2 linked regions of the Ovis aries genome follow. The protein of the gene in region 1 binds, or shares a complex with, the protein of each later gene. Links are inferred from orthologs where the notes say so. Each region holds a gene or a part of one and is shown in the gene's direction. Other genes may lie near its edges.

What was found.
Region 2: the proteins of CDK6 (region 1) and cyclin-dependent kinase inhibitor 2A are in contact, whole or in part, in a crystal structure (PDB 1BI7), measured with the Homo sapiens proteins. The link is inferred for Ovis aries from reciprocal best matches to the Homo sapiens genes CDK6 and CDKN2A. Residues at the interface, in NP_001138778.1 of Homo sapiens: Glu14, Cys15, Val16, Ala17, Glu18, Ile19, Phe28, Lys29, Arg31, Leu33, Asn35, Gly36, Gly37, Arg38, Phe39, Arg44, His100, Asp102, Gln103, Asp104, Thr106, Thr107, Asp110, Lys111, Gln149, Thr154, Ser155, Leu166, Ala167, Arg168; in NP_000068.1 of Homo sapiens: Thr18, Ala21, Arg22, Gly23, Arg24, Glu27, Asn42, Tyr44, Arg46, Gln50, Val51, Met52, Met53, Met54, Gly55, Ser56, Arg58, Asp74, Ala76, Thr77, Thr79, Asp84, Arg87, Glu88, Gly89, Phe90, Asp92, Asp108, Trp110, His123.

Annotation. Positions count from the first base shown.
Region 1 is NC_056057.1:10,942,664-10,947,072, reverse strand, and holds the start of CDK6 (cyclin-dependent kinase 6), read left to right. Parts: upstream 1-1,529; 5' UTR 1,530-1,671; intron 1,672-4,278; exon of another isoform or gene 4,279-4,409. UniProt on the Homo sapiens protein: Serine/threonine-protein kinase involved in the control of the cell cycle and differentiation; promotes G1/S transition. Phosphorylates pRB/RB1 and NPM1.
Region 2 is NC_056055.1:90,755,767-90,760,275, reverse strand, and holds the start of cyclin-dependent kinase inhibitor 2A, read left to right. Parts: upstream 1-1,575; 5' UTR 1,576-1,904; coding exon 1,905-2,030; intron 2,031-4,509. UniProt on the Homo sapiens protein: Acts as a negative regulator of the proliferation of normal cells by interacting strongly with CDK4 and CDK6. This inhibits their ability to interact with cyclins D and to phosphorylate the retinoblastoma protein.

The DNA of each region.
Region 1 (4,409 bases):
GCTTCTAAACACAAAAAATGTATTTTATGAACTATCTTAAGCATAAAACACACACTTTATTTTTTAAGAATAAATTATTATAATACCTTGCAAAATATTTGCTAATGAAAATGCAACAATTTTTATTTACCTAACCTGTTACTTCACATTATACTATAGAATCAATTTTATAAAGCAAAATTTTGATCTACTGTGAAATTAGCAAAATAGTTTAATTCAAAATGTCAACAGATTTATAGTGGTAGTATTTTTCATTCAAACAGAATTTTTCTGGGTTTTAATTTTTACACAGAGTCCTGAAATAAATAACATTTTTTTTAGGGTTTGCATTAAGATATTTCAAAGGGTTTCAAGTATTTTACAGATAGAGATTTTGGATAATATTGAATTCTTTCCAAAAAAATAGTCATTTTAAGTTTTGTTTTACTTCATTGTAAAAGTCTAGAAGACTTTTCTTTTCCTCCAAAATCTAATTTTCACCTGAAATATTGAGGTTTTCTCAGCAGGTAAAGTATACATTCTTACAAAGTTTCAAATTTCAGAAGTCCAGTAATGCATTTAAAGTAAGCACCCATCGAATCGTGTTCTCTCTTCTTTGTGTGTGTGTGCGTGTGTCTATTATCTTGCTGTTCTGTTACTTAAAGTCAATTTTAGGCTTTTTACCTCCACAGAAATACCTTAGTGAACCCTCGGCAGTTACTAATCACTTAATAACTGTGAGCCGGCCAGCCCCTTCAAGTAGATCGTTAACCACAAGAGTGCCAGACAATTTCCAAATCATATCCTCCGTCCAAAAGGAAAAGATAGGGCTTTGTGAGGCCGAAAGGAAGCGAAGGAAAACAAAACAAATGTAGCTCATGCTGAAAGTGAAAAGTGCTTGGACAGATTAGTATTTTCTTTTCTGCAAGGCGTCCTGCCAATTTTTTTAAATAAAGTTATTTTTTGATCTGACTTTTCAGTTTCTTGAAAAGTGTTAGTATTTACCATCCCCACCGGCCCCTCATGACTATTATCGGTCGTTTTGTGTTTTCCCCATCTGTCTACATCACTGACTGCTGAAACCCCCCGCCTGCCTCACTCTGTCAAAAACCCCAACTCTGGGCGACCCTCGGTTTGGTAACTCAGCCGACTGCCGACCACACATCCCACTCTCCCTCTCACGCCTCCTATTTTAGTCACCCCACTCCAGTTGCAGCGAAAGCCGGAAATTTTCATTTAGCTCCCCCCTCTTTCTCGCCCCCCACTCGGAGCGGAGAGCCGGGGAGCCGGAGGCTCAGAGCACAGCCGGGGCTCGGCCGCCTCCCCTCTCTCCGGAAGGCTTTAATTTGCACACTCGCTGGCCACTGAGCGGCGAGCCCCCCACCCGGCCGCCGGGAGGGTCGCGGGCCGCCGGCCTCCAGGGCCCCCCACCCCGCCCCCGCCGCCTCCCCGGCTCGGGCCCCGAGCCCGGGCCGGAGCCCCGCGGCCTCCGTCCGCCCCCAGCGCGCCGCGCGGGCGGCGCCCTCCGCCGTCCCTCCGCCCTCCGCCGCAGTGCCCACCCCCTCGCCCGAGCGAGCGCCGCTAACTCCTTCCTCGAGCCGGTTTACCTGCTCCGCGCCGCGGCGGACACGTGCGAAGGTCGACCGGTCCCCGCAGCCCCCTCGCGAGGCCCGCCGCGGCCGGGCCCCTCAGGTGAGGCGCTGTGCGCTCTGGTGGGTGGGCGGCAGGGTGCAGGGTGGGGGGGTGGTCCTTGGGGAAGACTTGGGGGCTTGGCCCGGGGTCGGCGGCTAGGGTGGGTGGGGGTGACTGGGGCGGGGAGGGGGGGCGGTAGGTTCTGGGAATCGGCTTTGGTTAACCCCTTACGATCCGAGGAGGGGTGGTTACAGGGGCCAGTTTCGGGGGAGCTACAGGAGTTTCTCCTAATCTGACTAGAGGGAAACATCCCACACGAGGGACTCCCCCCAACGCCGAGCTCCTGTGCCTGCTCGCACACAGCCTTGCGCACAAACACCCACACAAACACTTCTTATCCAGTCCTTCAAACGGAACTCAGGCTCCACTGGGAAACTCACCGAGAAATTTACATTCAGGGTTTAAAATGCACTGCTTTGGGGAACCTCACGCGGGAGAGAATGTGTTTCGGTGCCTTGTATTTATTTCCCCACGAAAGCTCCCCCTCCATCTCGCCGAGGTGTGGGTGTGAGCTCCACCTTCCCCACCGCGAGATAAATGTTAACGCAGACTTCTTGCTGGCAGCCCCCGCGGGCGTGTTCTGCACTTAAGAGAGGAGTACACGCCGGCGGCCAGTGCCCAGGCTGGAAGTCCCCCCGCAAGGATGGACGCTTGCTTTAGTTTCCTAGTTTACTTTCCTAATTTAAAATATCGTTAAAACGCACGCCCCCGGGGTGAACACCTCCTGGCCCGAGCCCCGCGCCCGTCAGTGTGCACGTGGGCGCATCTGCGTGTGTGTACACGCGGGAGTCGTGGTCCCCCGGGGCGGCCTCTGGTCGCCGCGGTGGTGGCGACCCTTGCGGTGCTTGGCAGGCTTCGGGAGAGGCACATGAAGGATTTCATTGAGTGTGAAGACAGAGAGCAGAGACAGAAAGCAGAAGGAGGCGGCTGCAGCCTTTGTAGTCGCGGAGGAATGCGGAAATGTTGAAGCACTCTGTCAAACTTTTTTGAAATGGGGTCAAGTCACATTCAGCCAGCGTGGGAAAGCAACAACAACAACAAAAAAAGTGGACGGGGCGGGGGACGGGGGGAGGCACGGCTGCTCCCGTTTCTCTCCGCCGGAGCCGACAGTCCGGGGAGCGAGGGGGGAGAGCCGGGGCGGGCGGTGCGGGGCCCGGCGGGGGCGGCGGGCGCAGCTCCCTGCGGGGGTGGGACGTCCCCGCCGCTTCCTTCGCCGCCGGGCGGCGGGCAGGACTGGGGCTGGGAGGGGGCCTGCGGGAGGGGGCGGGCGGCGCCGCTCGCCGCGGCTCCTCCGCTACCTGTGTGGCCCTCGGCCTGGCTCCGACCGCTGGTTCCTTGGCTCAGGGGGCTCGTTCCTCGGCCCCCTTACCCAGGACTGGCCTTCACCTTTTAAGGAGAATTTTGAATGGAGAGAGTGTGAGGGGCCCGGTGCTCTCCGCGGTCCCCTCCGCCCGCAGACCGCAAGGGTCGCGCAGTCTGTATCTTTAATTCCTGGCGGAAGGCGAGCGAGCCAGAGGTTGCGGGGCAGGTAATTCCGAGGAGCTCCGGGGAATTTCGGACAAGCAGTCGGAGCGGCGAATGTCCGGCGGAGGCCACAGCGTTGGTGGAGCAGAGGTCCCCTGGGTCCTGGATTGCAGCTTGAATGGGAAAGAAGAGTGCGACCCCCCCCCCCCTTCGCCGCTTTGTTGTGTGTGTGGGGTGAGCTCCGGGGGTCACTGGCTGCTATTCGGATCCGACCTTAAACTGGAAGGGGAGTGGAGCAACCTCTGCTACCTACTTCGGGAACAACCCTGGGAGTGGGGAAAGGTTCTCGAGTCCTGGCCCCGGGGGCGCAACCCCTTTTCGCTTTCCCCTGGAGGCTCAGCCTTTACTCCCCCCACCCCTCACCCTATTTAAGGGGAAGCTGAGTTTTGCTCAGGTTGCAATCGGTTGAAAAATTCAAGGCAAGTGACGATTATGCCGCTTTGCTTCTGAAGTTGTTCTCCAAGGAGACGACAAGCTGAAGTGCGGCGAGCACCTCTTTATCCCATTCTTAGGGTTCCGTAGGCGACTTCACCCGCCCCCTCGCCCCCGCCGCCACACCGCGGGGGGAGGCATCGCTCACCCACTCCGGAGTAGCGGGAGCTCCCGCCCTCTCGGATCTGATGGGTTTCCACCAGGGAGGTCTTCCCAAGTAAGAGGAAGGATTCCGTTTCCAACCCAGACTCTTTTACCTTAAAAAGACCATTTGTGTGTCGTTTTTAAATGTCTCCTCGTAGAAAAACTGAAAGTAGAAAGAAAGGAAGCAATTTCCGAGCAGATGTCTGACCACCCCTTCTCGCACACTCGCAGCATCGGGTTACAAAGGTCCTGGGAGCCCCCACCCACATTCTGCGGCCGCACTCAGGCGGACCCGAGGTCTGTCCACACCAGGCTGCGCACGACCCCAGAACGCCCCCACGGCACCCATGGAGCCCCTGTCCCCTGACGTCCAGGCCCGGCAGGCAGGGAGCGGAGCAGCGCAACACAATGATACAGGGAAATATTAAGCCGTGACATTGACGTGCCCGGCGCCTCCCCTCCCCCGCGCTCCCGGCACACTCTGGGCTGCTTGGCACGCCCCCTCTCGTTCCACCGCGTCCAGCGCCCCGCGCTCATCCCCGAGGGGCCCCTGCAACCTCTCCGGGCGAAGACGGCTCTAGCTCTGCAGGGAAAGAAAAGTAACTTCGTTTTTCTCGGAGAAACCAGGAAGGAAGCGG
Region 2 (4,509 bases), on another chromosome or scaffold:
AATTGCATATTTTATTTTTGGAGGAGAGGGTATATAGCTTTCAACAGCTTATTCTCCCTGCCCTAAGATTAAGAACCATTATTTTTAATGGTTTAATTTAATTTTGATATTAGTCTAAAAAGCCAGACATATTACAAGGGAAATCTGTTCCCTCCATCTCATTACCACAACTGCTGTTTTCCCCTCCTCTATCATACAATACCTTAAGCAACATTAGAAGATGTTTACATTTCCACATCATTGTTGCTCTCATACTTGAGAGGTGCCTGGAGGAAAATATACATAACACAGTGATGCATTGTGGATTTTATAATGGACTTGACTTCCCAGTCCCATAAGTGTTTTAATTGTCATTATTTAAAACCTCATGTGTTGCCTAAACTAACAGCCACTGAAAGTATAGTCAAGTATTATGGGTCTTCAAGAGGAGTCAAGTAGGAATTGAAATATAACTTTTAAAACAGAGCTGGGTTATCTAGCAGACAGATTAAACATTAACTTTTCATTAAATATGTCGGTCACTGGAAGATGTCCATCATTGTTTCAGTGATTAAGGTTTTCTTGCCTGCCCTTTTATATGTAATATTGATAATTCTACCTAAACCATTTCCTTCTCTGTCTCCTAGATTGCAAGAAAATCTTCAAAATGGATGTTAAGAGCTAACAGGCATGAGCTTAGGATGTGTGATACTGTTCTAAATGCTTATGTGTGTATCAATTCATTTAAAACTCAAAACAGTCCTAGGAAGTAGGGACACCTCTTATTCCCCCCTCCATTTTATAACTAAGAAAAGTGTAAGGTTTTTCTAACAGGAAGGAAAGGTGGACAGAAGTGGCACCAAGACAGTGTGTGAGCCTGCTTTCTGAATCATCTCCGAATGCAGCCCTGTCCCTAGAGCAATGAGCATGTTTTCTGGTGTAGGAGAAATTATTGAGAACAGAGCCTACTAAGCCCAAGGATACCCTTGCCACTTTCCTATCTGCGTACAGGTAGAAATCTCCACCATCCCTTTTAAATTGACCTCATCTGCTCGGAGCCAGCCCGTATACTGGGCACTAGTACCAGGCATTGTGCAAGCCTAGGAAACGCTCTCCCCCGACATCCGTTTTACATGTGTGTGGAGGGAGGGAGGCACAGCCTGGCGCGTGAGCCAGTTCTCCAGAAGGGACGTTTGAGCTAGAATTTCTGGCATAATCGAGCCAGCGCTCGAAAACCTGGTGCTGAGCGTTGGAGGGGGAGTGTATCCTCTCCAAGAAGGAAAGCCTCATGGTGGAATGGCTGATACCTATCCTGGGCGCTCGGGGCCAGGACAAGCTGGCTGTTTCTTCTGATTAAAAGAGGAAGCAATAACTTTGCCTATGACTCCAAACACACTGGTTCGAACTTGGCAGTTAGGAATCCTATGCAGTTGTCTCACGCCACTCAGGGTGTATACGCGAGGAATTTTCACTTGGCTGGAGTGAACTCGCTCGGAGCCGCGCGTGCGCCTCTGATGGGGGTGGGGGCGCGCTGCGCGCGGACGCGGGGCGGGGGGCGGGGAGGAGGTCCCAGGGCGCCCTCCTTTCGCGGTCCCGTCGCGCTACCGGAGCGGACAGCTTCCGGCCGGTGCCTCGGGTCGCGTGGGCGGCAGACCTGTGACCGAGGAGGCCCGGCGGGGGCTACTTCATAGACGTCTTGTTCGTTAGGAGCAAAGGGCGCCTCCTGGAAGAGCGCGTGGAGGGCGCTCCCCGGGTGGAAAGACTCCTCGGGAGGAGTCGAGGGGCCGAGTCTGGGGGCCGCTTCCGCCAGCCCCGTAGGAGGAAAGAGGAGGGGCGGGCTGCTCAGGAGCAGCCTGGGCGGGCCGCCCGCGCTCGACGCAGGCGGGAGGAAGGGAGGGAGCGAGGGGCGAGCTTTGGGGAGCAGCATGGAGACCTCGGCTGACTTGCTGGCCGCCGCCGCCGCGCGGGGCCGGGCTGACGAGGTACGGGCACTGCTCGAGGCTGGAGCGTTGGCCAACGCGCCGAACCGTTACGGTCGAAGCGCGATTCAGGTGGGTCAGCAGGTCTGCCGCGGAAAGGTGGGCGGCTGGGTGGGTGGGTGGATGGCGAGAGGCTTTGGAGGACGAGGTCCGCCAGTGAGTCGGAACCAGGTAAGCGTTTCTTGGTAAAGGGGAGACTTTTCAGACCGAGTTCGGGATCGGAGACCTCTCGGCGACTCTCAGGGGGCTCAGGACGGCCGCGGAGCTGGCTGAGAAGGCGCGTGGGGTTCAGATCTCTAAAACGGTGTGAAGATCTAGAAGGGAGAACCTACGTGTGTTAATATAGACCGATATGCGAAATTGACGAACGTCTGGAGTACGAGTATAAAGACAGTAAGACATGCTGGACCACTTACTCCCGAACTTATAAAATTGTGAATGGAGCTGATCGACTTCTTTGTTGGGGGGGGAGGGGCGGTGAGAGGGAGATTTCAGTGGAAATCTACTGCTGTGTAAGTTGGAATAAAGGTCGATTGAAATTATTCAGAAGCAACCATATATCGTGTTTATTATTTTTTTTTAACCGAGTAAGGAACATATATGCTTGTTTAGGAAATAGACATACATGAAAAAAAAAATTAGTGCAATTATGCCTGAAATAATGCTGCCAATTTAGTTACCACTTGAGTGTCTCTTACCTTTTGGGGTATTTTAAACTTACTTGGTATACATTAATTTCCTGGGAAGTTTTCAGTTCCTCATAGTTTAAAAAATGTCATTTCTCCTCTCCCCACTCCAGTTTTGTATGTGTGAGGATGAGTTGTGAGTTCGTTTTTCTGTGTGTGTGTGTGTGTGTGTGTGTGTGTGTGTTTTGCCTTCACTAACTTCCTAAATCTGGGGCTAAAAATAAATTCTTCCTGGCAGTCACTCCAGTTTTATTCCAGGTTTCGACAACGATTTCTGATTCTGAAAAATAATATTTATATGAAATGTACACTGCAAAAACTCCAGCATAACAAGACAAAGGAAAAGTAACTCAACCTGGAACTTAACAAGTGATTTCACAAGCGAATCGTCCTTTCCTCAAACTATGCTACATAGAACAGATATATTTTATATACTTTTAGATACAAAAATAAAAATAAAATATCCTCAAATCTGAGATTATTTGGGATTTGAAATGTGGAGAGATTTGGAGATTAAAAGGTTGAATGGTTGTAGAAGAGAAGCATGAGTTCTTTTTTTAAAAAATGCATGCATGATTCATAATTGGATATCTCTAAAGTTTTGCCAGCAGTTTGCAGACTGGGTGTTACAGCCTTCTAGTTCTGAAAGATGTTATATTAGACTTTATTGTTTAAATACAAAAAGAAAGATAATTAATTTTAAATTATTTTTAAATAGGATAAGGGCATCGACAAAAGGGATATGATTTTAGTTTTGAACCCTAACCAAATTTGTGTTTAAAAATACTTAGTTTATAGAAAAATTTTAATGACTAAATTAAATTTATATCTTCAGTTTGACTTAAGTACCCTAGAAATATTCATTTGAATGATTTTCTTTTTGCTTTGGATTGCTACTATGATTTAAATATTATGTTACTTTTCATACTTTAATACTGTAGCATATAATAATACCTTTAACCAATTTAATGACTAAGACCAAGGACTTCATTTATCCAACCCATGTAATATATTTTCACCTGCATTATATACAAGCATGGAAGGAGACATACATATATATATATGAGCTCTGGCACTTATAGTAGAGTTTCCAAAAGATTATGGTGTCCTTGGGTGTGGCCCCTTTGTTTTGGAAATTAATTCATAATCCATGAGAAATCCAATAGTGTAAATTTCCCCAGTTTTTATTTTAAAAAATTCTTTCTTCTAATGCACTGTTAGTTTTCCTTTTTGTAGCTGCAAGTTGGTTCACTTAAATTTTCTCTGTGGTTTTTTTTTTTTTTTTAATTAAATCAGTTTCACTTTCTCTAGGATAGAACTCAACAAGCATAGTATAACTTGTTAAGATTCCTTGGTTTGAACAAATTAATTCAAGTTTAATACAGAACTCAACTAAAAATAAATAATTCCTCAATATAGTGTAGCTAATGTAACCAAATAATGGTTACCCTAAAAAAGAATGTTCTATCACCTCCACCCAATGTATAACACTCAAATTGCAAAGTTGCTGTGATTGTGAACAATATTTCAAAATTCCTCTTTGGTAATGCTCTTGTATCATCAAAGATTATTTAGGAACCAAATGAAGTGAGCACCTCCTCTTTAATGAAGTCTGAGTGTGATCTTGGAAGGTGTCTTCCTATTTCTGCTATAACAAATTACCACAAATTTAGTATCAACATAAATTTATTATCTTATGGTTCTGTAAATCAGAATTCTAAAATGGGTCCACAAGGTTGCATTCCCTTTGGGAGTTCTAAGGAAGAATCCATTTCCTTGCCTCTCCCAACATTTAGTGACAGTCAACATTCCTTGGCTCTTGGCCCCTGCATTTTCTCTCTGACCTCTGCTTCCATTCTTATATC